Linked DNA regions of Macaca fascicularis. The protein of the gene in region 3 interacts with the protein of the main gene of each other region in a biochemical or structural test. Links are inferred from orthologs where the notes say so. Each region holds a gene or a part of one and is shown on either strand. Other genes may lie near its edges.

Evidence for each region.
Region 1: of the proteins of JUN (region 3) and MAPK8, one has a biochemical effect on the other in vitro, tested with the Homo sapiens proteins (76 studies listed by BioGRID and IntAct, with this or other methods). The link is inferred for Macaca fascicularis from reciprocal best matches to the Homo sapiens genes JUN and MAPK8.
Region 2: of the proteins of JUN (region 3) and PRKD1, one has a biochemical effect on the other in vitro, tested with the Homo sapiens proteins (2 studies listed by BioGRID). The link is inferred for Macaca fascicularis from reciprocal best matches to the Homo sapiens genes JUN and PRKD1.

Annotation. Positions count from the first base shown.
Region 1 is NC_088383.1:57,641,943-57,645,269, reverse strand, and holds part of MAPK8 (mitogen-activated protein kinase 8), read right to left. Parts: intron 1,899-3,327; coding exon of another isoform or gene 1,894-1,898; coding exon 1,748-1,893; 3' UTR 1-1,747. UniProt on the Homo sapiens protein: Serine/threonine-protein kinase involved in various processes such as cell proliferation, differentiation, migration, transformation and programmed cell death.
Region 2 is NC_088381.1:97,748,769-97,752,516, reverse strand, and holds the start of PRKD1 (serine/threonine-protein kinase D1), read left to right. Parts: upstream 1-1,254; 5' UTR 1,255-1,450; coding exon 1,451-1,714; intron 1,715-3,748. Other genes in the region: uncharacterized protein, read right to left, coding at 716-1,254.
Region 3 is NC_088375.1:175,918,057-175,921,804, forward strand, and holds the start of JUN (transcription factor Jun), read left to right. Parts: upstream 1-1,367; 5' UTR 1,368-2,345; coding exon 2,346-3,350; 3' UTR 3,351-3,748. UniProt on the Homo sapiens protein: Transcription factor that recognizes and binds to the AP-1 consensus motif 5'-TGA[GC]TCA-3'.

The DNA.
Region 1 (3,327 bases), on a different chromosome or scaffold from region 3:
ATCATGACTCTAAGCCATCAAAAACAAACCTGCTATTTCAAAGTATATAAAAAGGCTAACGTATTTTAATCTTAAATATTGCACATTAACAATGATGTAAAATATCTCATTCAAAAGGAATTTTGCACTAAATATATGAATAAAATGCCAAGCAAATTTTCAGACACTGCATGTTAAGCCACACCTGTTCTTCCCATTGGTCACGAATTCCAAGGGGCTTTCTGCCTAGAACCTTGCTGCTTATGTGAGTATGCACTTCCTAGTTCATTACATGAAATCCCTCTTGTTCCAGAGATCATTTAAAAGGTGCCTGGGTCTATTACAGACACCGTATTTCAGAAATAACGAGACTTCAAAGACATTTTACTTGGGAAAAGTTCAGTTATAGAGAAATAATTCTGCAGATAGAAAATGTAAACAGTTAACATACACTTGTCAGGAGCAGCACCATTCTTACACTACTCGACATCCACATTGCATGTTATGTTGAAAATCAGGTATAAAAAAATAAAAGACTCAGACTAAATAACCACCATTTATGCCTGCTCTGCTCAATGTGAAGAAACAGTCCTTAGAAAATGACATCCTATATATGGCTGTGTGCTACTATTTTCAGATGAACGGTATATTGCTCATTTGATACATCACCTACACAAATCTAGGTAGGCTTTGGAACCTCCCAATAGCTAGTATAAATATGATTATGCTACAAGTAGAATCAAATGGCCAGAAACACCAGAACAACTGGTGTTCAACTGACAGACACTCCAAGTAATAGGAAACCGGAAAGGTCCAAGGGCCCGAAGCTGCAGGAAAGGGAAAGACTAGACTCTAGAACATTGCTGGGACCTACAGCCTGAGTAGATTAACTCAGTGTATACAAAAACAGGCTCATAGCTAGTAGAAGTGAACCATCTGTTTATTTGCATTGAAATGTATTATTCATGAAGTATCCTCTTGACTTTATGTGATCATAAACTTTGAGCATGCCACAAATTTGCAGAATACACCATGTTCTTTTTACTTATTTCTGTTGGGTAGGGTGGGGACATAAGGTGGTGGTAGATGCCCAGCATCTTCAAAGACATGCTCTGAGTTATTCTGCCACTTAGATGACGGGGCTTTTGCCAAAATTAAGTAGGATTGCCTACCAATTCTTGTAACTAAATTAGGATTGGCAAGTAGCAAATATTGGAGGTCTCCTAACACGTTCATCATTTACAGTAGTTATTCCTGAATATAACTGGCTACAAGTTATTTTCCCTCACTCCTCTGGGGTTATTTCATTGATAAGCACATAACCCTGAAGGATAGTATCATGAACAAAACATCTGAAATAAATTCTAATAAAAAAAACTATAAAAATCTTAAATAATTCATGATATAGGCAAGTCACCACATAATAGTTGCTTTGATAAACAAAATCTTACAAATTCAGTTAAAAAAATCAGCAGCATAAGATAAAGCAAATATGCAAAAAATTTAAAACATGATAAAATAATTAGGTTTACATTATACAGTTAATTACAGCAAAAAATACAATACAGTTTTGTTGCTGTTTTGAAACACAACTTAGGTTTTAAATTACATCACTTGAAATTAAAAAAAATAAACTACTTTACTACAAAATGAATTCTACATTTTTTGAAAAATCACTCAAAAATAAGACCACTGAATTGTTTTCAAAGTAGTTCTATCAATGACTAACCGACTCCCCGTCCCTCCCACCCCCCCACGGCCCAAGTAGTCATCTACAGCAGCCCAGAGGCCCAGCTGATGCTTCTAGACTGCTGTCTGTATCCGAGGCCAAAGTCGGATCTGTTGACATTGAAGACACATCATTGACAGACGACGATGACGATGGATGCTGAGAGCCATTGATCACTGCTGCACCTGTGCTATGAGAAACAAAACAGCAAATCAGTTGCAGACAGCTGCAGATCGAGCTACTTGCACTGCACTGCCTGCCTCTAGTGGTAATTTTTTCTCTTGGGTTTAGAAGGCTCACTAAAAATAATCGCAAATGATATCCAATACACTAAAAAACACTCTTCATTGACAGCTATGAGGTGAGAATTCTGAAAATGTCTAGAATCGTGGAGTCCTATCCTTTCAATGAATGTGTTTTCCAGTTTAAGACAAGAATTTACATCTGAGCCACATTTAGAAATGGTCCTGCAGCAAGATCCACAAATGGGCTTCAGGGTACGTGTGAATACTGCTGATAATACATGCAAAACTGTCTGTAATGCCTTTTTTTGGACAGAAGATCTTAAAGGACTGTATAACTACAAAAGTTAAAAGCTACTTCCCTACAAAAAAGTCTTTATAGCTTTGCACTAAAAAGGAAAAATTCAAATGATTCAAATTTGAAACAAGATGTACTTCTGGCACATCTTGTTTTAAAGCAAGCGCCAAGGAATAAAATAATTTTAACAGGAAGAAACCTTAATTCAACTGCCCCAGTTTATACAAGGTTATGGGACATGACAGTGTCACTCAAATGGCCTAGTTAAGTAAACTTGGGTCTTCTTATTTCTACGCTAATACTTGATAAGTAGAAATATGGATTTATTAAATAGATAAAGTAGGAGCAAACAGTTTCTTTTGCCGAAAGTATTACCTAATAAGGACTTCCTGAATTTTAAAAAGTAACACGAATACCTGAGCTCGAGACAGAAATCCTCTCAAGGGGATTGGTTTAGGAAGGGGACAGGAATGACTTACACTGGGGTATAGAGAAAAAAGGTAACTCATGCACTAGGCTAAGTACTTTTAAACCACATGAACACTAAATAAGGGTCATTCCAAATTTGAATAACGCAAGTTACTTAAAAGTTCTCAAGAATACATTTATGAAATAAAATCAATGGTCTTCAAATGGAACACTGAGCAGAATTTCTGAGGGTGAGGTTCAGGCACCCAACGATGCTGAAACCAAATATGGCTGAAAACCACTGCTCCTGAACCCAGCATCTGTATTTGAGATCATCCCTCCATTCTGTCCAGATAAGCAATAAAACACTTCAATATGAAAGGTCCTCTGCGAGCTTTTCTTCAAATGCAAAAAGAAAACAGGCAGTGTAGTGGGAATAGGAAAATCTTTAGGGAGGGGACTGGGAGACAGAAAGGAATGGAACCACAAGAGACAAAGCAGGTGATGGGAGTTGAAACAGAAGAGAAAAGCAGGATGAGTATTTCAGGCCTGAGAGATGAGAGGTAAAATAGGTGATAATCTCCTAGACCCAAGAAAGGTCCATTAGCTTCTCAGTCAGAGTGAAACTGAGATAGTATATTCTTTTTAGTTCAGTCAATACTTGGAATGAG
Region 2 (3,748 bases), on a different chromosome or scaffold from region 3:
TTGGTTAAAAATTATGAAGAACGAAACAGCGACAGCAGACTATTGTTCCAGAACATTAAACCAAACACGGGTCTTATGAGCTGTGGCCTATACAACTGCACAGTCGCACACCCATGAAGCCCACCCTGGTGGGAGGAGAGAATTAGAATTCATCTCCAACGAATGTAAAACAATCCCTACCCTGCCAAAACAACAAAAATAAACGATCCAAATTAGGGCAGGTTGTGAACAATCCTGATGGCTGTGCTTGTGATCATGGTGGCGGGGCTGAGGTGGGAGCACTGCTCCTATATAACAGACTTTAGAGGAGAAGGAAAATAGTTTCTGAAGCTCCAAAGGAGAAACTTCAGGCGCAAAGAATAAGGTAAAGGAAAGGAAACCGCGTCAGACCCTCCTCCTGCCCTTGGGCAGTCAATGCCTTTTCTTTCCAAAGCGACCCTCTCTTTAGATCACTGTGTATATCCGGTGCCTTAGGAGCTGGGGTGGAGTAGGTAGGGTTGGCTGTAATGGCGTGTCAGAGCGACAAAAAGGGTAGGGACAAGTTTAAATCCCTTTCTGTGGATTGGCTTCTACCCTCTTTGGCAACAAACCCCAGGGCTCCCAGAGGGGCCTGGATGTAAGTGGTTTCCGGATGACCCATCCTCCCTTGACCCTCCAAAGGTAAGACCCGAGGGGAACCGCTGTGATCAGCATTCTTGAATTCCTCAAAAGTCACCTCACTTGTAGAAGTGCGTAGTCCTCGAGCATTTGGAAGAGGTGGCAGGGACCGTGGGGCCCGGGAAGTTCGCGACCCCAGGAAGCGGGTGTGAGGAGGTGCGCCCCATCCACTCCGTCCGCAGTCGGGGCAGCGGGACCCGCGAGGACTGGAGTCCCTGCAGGGAGGGAAGGGCCGCTCCTGCCGAGGCGGCTCCGAGCCCCGCCACTCGGTCCTATCCCGGCTCGCGGAGGCTCAGGCCTCGGGAACTGCGGGCGGAGGGGGCGGCGACCGGGCACCCTGCGGCCACTGCTCCTGCGACTCCCGCGCCCGCCGGGTGGTGGCTCCGCAGTGCCCGCCCCCAGCTCCCCTTCCCCGCCCCTCACGCCCCCGCCCGGCGCTCTGGCCGCGCCGACCCGCCGCCCCGTCCTTCCGAGCGCGCCAGGCGGCAGCTTCTTGGCGGCGGCGGCGGCACCTCCCCCGCGCCGGCGGCCCCGCGCCGGCGGCCGCGCTCCGGGCCGCAGAGTCCTCCCGCCTCGGCCATTTTCCCTCCTCCCCATCTCCTCCCCTCAGTCCACTCCCCTCCTGATCCTCATCCCCTCGCCCTCCCCCCGCGCGGGGACTTTTCCGGAAAGTTTTTATTTTCCGTCTCGGCTCTCGGAGAAAGAAGCTCCTGGTTCAGCCGCTGCAAAACTTTTCGGCTGCCGCGCCGCCGGCCCCCGCCCTCGGCTGCCCGGCCCCGCGCCCCGCTGAGCGATGAGCGCCCCTCCGGTCCTGCGGCCGCCCAGCCCCCTGCTGCCCGTGGCGGCAGCCGCTGCGGCAGCTGCCGCCGCACTGGTCCCAGGGTCCGGGCCCGGGCCCGCGCCTTTCTTGGCTCCCGTCGCGGCCCCGGTCGGGGGCATCTCGTTCCATCTGCAGATCGGCCTGAGCCGTGAGCCAGTGCTGCTGCTGCAGGACTCGTCTGGGGACTACAGCCTGGCGCACGTCCGCGAGATGGCTTGCTCCATCGTCGACCAGAAGGTAAGTCGCCGCGCCGCTGCCAGCCCGGCGCCTCCCCGCGGCGCAGGGGGCGCTGCCCAGCTGGCCCTCTCTGCGCCAACTTTCCGGCTCCCGGGGCTCGGCCGGCGGCCAGCCTCGTCGGCGCTCTGGAAGCGACTGGCCTCGCCGCGGCTGGACGCCTGCAGCCCGAGGCACTGCGCTCGCTGTTGCTCATCCTCCTCTCGCCCCATCTTCCTCTATTCACCGATTTGTCTCCAGTCCGCCTACTCCTCACCCATTTCCATCCTTCTCATGACAATTTCCAGGTATCTTGCCCTTTCCTCGCCGCGCCCCTCCTTGTCCTTGAGACTTCCCAGTTTTCTTCTCCTCTGTCCCCTTCCCCTATGGACCCTGGACCAGCGCATTCCTGGTGCCGGAATCCTACTTCCTGCACCAGAGTGCCCCTGGAATGGCCTGGAGACAAGAAATTTCTCACCTGTCAGCTAAACTGACCAGGACTGCAGCTACCCAAGGCCCTGTCATCTTTTAGTTCCACCTCTGTATGAACATGGAAACACATTTTCCAACGACAAAACCTGAAAGTTGCAACCTTCCTATTTTTCATTCCCGGGATGCTGATAGTAGGACGTTGAAGTGGTGGGGGTGATGTCCAGGAACATCCCAAGGCTGGCTGTGCCCTTAAGTTTGAGGCTGTGGGGCTCTGGACAGCGGCCACTCAAGGCAGGTTGGAAGAAGGGCCGTTATCTGGGGCCAGGCCACCCCCGGAGGAGACTCAGTCCAGCCACCACTGTTTACAGTTGCAATTTGGATTTTCAGGTTGCCTCTGGAGCTATCCAGAGGGATGTTGCATGGAAGGGGGTGATACAGATGTGAGGGAGAGGGGACCATGGCGCCAGTCTTCTTAGTGTAAACAGCCAGCGTTTCAGGGGGTGGAGACAGAGGTCTCTAAAGGTGCTGAATTTTTCAGCCCTGGAGGACTGGCTAGCACTCCTTTTGCTTTCCAATTATCACTTGAATAATCATGAATTGCTTTCTTTAAACTATGTGTAACAGAGTTTGCTAAACCTTGAGGGTTGTGAGTTGCGGCACTGAGCACAGGGATGTTAAAAGCCCCAGGTGGAAAAAAATAACCGATCTAGAAAGTTGTGAAAGTTCTAGACTAAGGTAACAATGAGTGCCAGGAATTTATTTATGGAACTTTACTTTTATATTACGGGTAATGTCAACTGTTTGCAACTTCGAAGAAAATGACACATTTTGTCTAATGCTGATGCAAGTCATATCATGCTCCTTTTCCACATCAGTATTGTGGAATGTCTATTGTGGGTAAGCAGGAGCACTCTTCTAGGCACTGTGAAAGCCTTGTATACAACCCTCTCCATTTGGATGCAGACCAGTTAATTAAACAGCAATGCTTCATAACCACATATACAATGTACAATAAAATTTCTCAAAAAGCAAAGGTAATTCTGTACAATTTTAACTTTTCTAAATTCTAAAGCAAGTGATGTAGTGTCAGAGAATATTCAAATTGGGTCAAAGTAATATTGATAGACTTTGTTTTGACCAGCTTGAATTCTCCCTCCTCCCCGCCCCCAACTTCCTTATGGAGTTCAGGATGGAGAGACTGATCCATGGCTCAAGAGGTTTGGTAGTGGGATTTTAAAATGGAGGGTGAATTCCAGGTGTCTTGGAAGCTACCAAGAGGCGTGTTACATGGAGAGAGTGAGATGAGAGCAGAGGGAGAGGGACAGCAAGCACTTACGGAATGCAGCAGGCCTGAAGGTGGTGGCTGGGGTCTTTAAGGGAAGTACAGTTATGAAAAGGCCTTGAATTAAACTCAAATTGCGAGAAGCCTCAGTAATCTTTTCACAGCGACATCATACCAAGGACATCTGAAACATGGATTTGCTGTGTGGAGGTTTTAGAATGCCAAAAATGTTATGGCAGAAAGAGCACCAGAGTTCAGTCATGAGCAGTTGGAACATGAGCCAAGACTCTTGGGGGAGAGACCGGGAGAAATACTGGAAAGAGAAAACCATCAGCCCTGATAGG
Region 3 (3,748 bases):
CCGACTTCGGGATTCTTTCCACCACACACTTTCGTCCCTAAGGGGTGGGGGGCGGGGGGAAGATAAAATAACAACCGCGGAAAAGGAACCACTTACATGTGTCTAGCGCTTCCTAGAGGCTACTCAGGATATGGGCCCACCACCCGGCCGGGAAGGTGGAGATTTGAAGTCCAGGTTCTACCCCGGGCTCCTGAGTTCTACTGCGTTACTTTATGCGAGTGTCCCCCGCCTTCTGAGCTTGTTTTCCCGGAAGCAACTCGGCGCGGGTGGAGAGTGTGTGCGTGTGTGTGTGTGTGTGTGCGCGCGCGCGCATGTTGTGCGTGTTGTGTTAAGCGTGTGTGTGTTGTCCGGGGGCGGGAAGGGGAGTAGACTAACACCGGGGTTCCCCGAGTTTCGGATCGCCTACACGCTTGTTCCCATCTGGACCCTGTTACCCACTAATTGCGCCCACTATAAAAACTGCCCCTCGGAGGCAAAGCTGTGATCCCCCGCGCCCTTTCCCCCACGGTCCCGGAGGATGAAGTGGGGTGCAACGGAGACTCAGCTGAGCGTCCAGTTTTGGGCAATACAAATCTCTCAGCTTCTAAGAGCAGCCAGACAACCCCGCGGACCATCGCTCCTGAACTTGACCGAGATGCAAACTTCGCAGCGTTTCTCAACGTGGGGGGCCGACTCTCGGGAGACCGCCCCCAAACTTAAGCCCCCTTAGGCTCGCCCCCAACTGGGACTTCACAGAGCCACCTTAAGGGCGGCGCTCCCGCCCCCCGGAAGTGCGGGGGGGCGGCGGACCTGGACTCTCAGCCTCCCGCCCCGCGCGGTGGCGGACGCCGGTGGATGACTTCGAGCCCCACAAGTGGGGAAACACAACCACCCCTCGCCCGCACCCTTGACCCAAAACAACTGGCCGGGTTCCCTGGCCTCCCGGGTCCCCGCATCCCCTGCATCCCAGTCCGCAGCCGTGAACTTGAGCCCCCTCCGTCAGATGTTGCGAGCGTCCGCCCGCTCGCGGCAGCCACCGTCACTAGACAGTCAAACCCCAAGACGTCAGCCCACAATGCACCGGGCGGGCCGGGAAAAACGGCCCGGGGAGGGGACCGGGGAAGAGAGGGCCGAGAGGCGTGCGGCAGGGGGGAGGGTAGGAGAAAGAAGGGCCCGACTGTAGGAGGGCAGCGGAGCATTACCTCATCCCGTGAGCCTCCGCGGGCCCAGAGAAGAATCTTCTAGGGTGGAGTCTCCATGGTGACGGGCGGGCCCGCCCCCCTGAGAGCGACGCGAGCCAATGGGAAGGCCTTGGGGTGACATCATGGGCTATTTTTAGGGGTTGACTGGTAGCAGATAAGTGTTGAGCTCGAGCTGGATAAGGGCTCAGAGTTGCACTGAGTGTGGCTGAAGCAGCGAGGCGGGAGTGGAGGTGCGCGGACTCAGGCAGGCAGACAGACACAACCAGCCAGCCAGGACGGCAGTATAGTCCGAACTGCAAATCTTATTTTCTTTTCCACCTTCTCTCCAACTGCCCAGAGCTAGCGCCTGTGGCTCCCGGGCTGGTGTTACGAGGAGTGCCCAGAGAGCCTGGTCTCCAGCCGCCCCCAGGAGGAGAGCCCTGCTGCCCAGGCGCTGTTGACAGCGGTGGCGAGCAGCGGTACCCACGCGCCCGCCGGGGGAAGTCGGCGAGCGACTGCAGCAGCAAAGAACTTTCTCGGCCCGGAGGGCCGGAGACAACTGGCCCAGAGTCCCGGAGCGAACTTTTGCAAGCCTTTCCTGCGTCTTAGGCTATTCGGCGGCGGTAAAGACCAGGAGGCGGCGGACAGCCACGCAAAAGAAGAAGGACGTGCGCTCAGCTTCGCTCGCACCGGTTGCTGAACTTGGGCGAGCGCGAGCCGCGGCTGCCGGGCGCCCCCTCCCCCTCGCAGCGGAGGAGGGGACAAGTCGTCGGAGTCTGGGCGGCCGAGACCCGCCGCTGGTCGGCCTCTGCGGGTCGGCACTGATCCGCGCCGCCGGGAGAGCCGCTGCTCTGGGAAGCGAGTTCGCCCGCGGACTCCAAGGAACGGCGGCGCCCGAAGAGCGCTCAGTGAGTGACCGCGACTTTTCAAAGCCGGGTAGCGCGCGCGCGAGTCGACAAGTAAGAGTGCGGGAGGCATCTTAATTAACCCTGCGCTCCCTGGAGCGAGCTGGTGAGGAGGGCGCAGCGGGGACGACAACCAGCGGGTGCGCGCGCTCTTAGAGAAACTTTCCCTGCCAAAGGCCCCGGGGGGCACGGGTGTCCCCCGCTTGCCAGAGCGCTGTTGCGGCCCCGAAACTTCAGCACGCAGCCCAAACTAACCTCACGTGAAGTGACGGACTGTTCTATGACTGCAAAGATGGAAACGACCTTCTATGATGATGCCCTCAACGCCTCGTTCCTCCCGTCCGAGAGCGGAGCTTATGGCTACAGTAACCCCAAGATCCTGAAACAGAGCATGACCCTGAACCTGGCCGACCCAGTGGGGAGCCTGAAGCCGCACCTCCGCGCCAAGAACTCGGACCTCCTCACCTCGCCCGACGTGGGGCTGCTCAAGCTGGCGTCGCCCGAGCTGGAGCGCCTGATAATCCAGTCCAGCAACGGGCACATCACCACCACGCCGACCCCCACCCAGTTCCTGTGCCCCAAGAACGTGACAGACGAGCAGGAGGGCTTCGCCGAGGGCTTCGTGCGCGCCCTGGCCGAACTGCACAGCCAGAACACGCTGCCCAGCGTCACGTCAGCGGCGCAGCCGGTCAGCGGGGCGGGCATGGTAGCTCCAGCGGTAGCCTCGGTGGCAGGGGGCAGCGGCAGCGGAGGCTTCAGCGCCAGCCTGCACAGCGAGCCGCCCGTCTACGCCAACCTCAGCAACTTCAACCCAGGCGCGCTGAGCAGCGGCGGCGGGGCGCCCTCCTACGGCGCGGCCGGCCTGGCCTTTCCCGCGCAACCCCAGCAGCAGCAGCCGCCGCCGCAGCCGCCGCACCACCTGCCCCAGCAGATGCCCGTGCAGCACCCGCGGCTGCAAGCCCTGAAGGAGGAGCCTCAGACAGTGCCCGAGATGCCTGGCGAGACGCCGCCCCTGTCCCCCATTGACATGGAGTCCCAGGAGCGGATCAAGGCGGAGAGGAAGCGTATGAGGAACCGCATTGCTGCCTCCAAGTGCCGAAAAAGGAAGCTGGAGAGAATCGCCCGGCTGGAGGAAAAAGTGAAAACCTTGAAAGCTCAGAACTCGGAGCTGGCGTCCACGGCCAACATGCTCAGGGAACAGGTGGCACAGCTTAAACAGAAAGTCATGAACCACGTTAACAGTGGGTGCCAACTCATGCTAACGCAGCAGTTGCAAACATTTTGAAGAGAGACTGTTGGGGGCTGAGGGGCAACGGAGAAAAAAAATAACACAGAGAGACAGACTTGAAAACTTGACAAGTTGCGACGGAGAGAAAAAAGAAGTGTCCGAGAACTAAAGCCAAGGGTATCCAAGTTGGACTGGGTTGCGTCCTGACGGCGCCCCCAGTGTGCACGAGTGGGAAGGACTTGGCGCGCCCTCCCTTGGCGTGGAGCCAGGGAGCGGCCGCCTGCGGGCTGCCCCGCTTTGCGGACGGGCTGTCCCCGCGCGGACGGAACGTTGGACTTTTCGTTAACATTGACCAAGAACTGCATGGACCTAACATTCGATCTCATTCAGTATTAAAGGGGGGAGGGGGAGGGGGTTACAAACTGCAATAGAGACTGTAGATTGCTTCTGTAGTA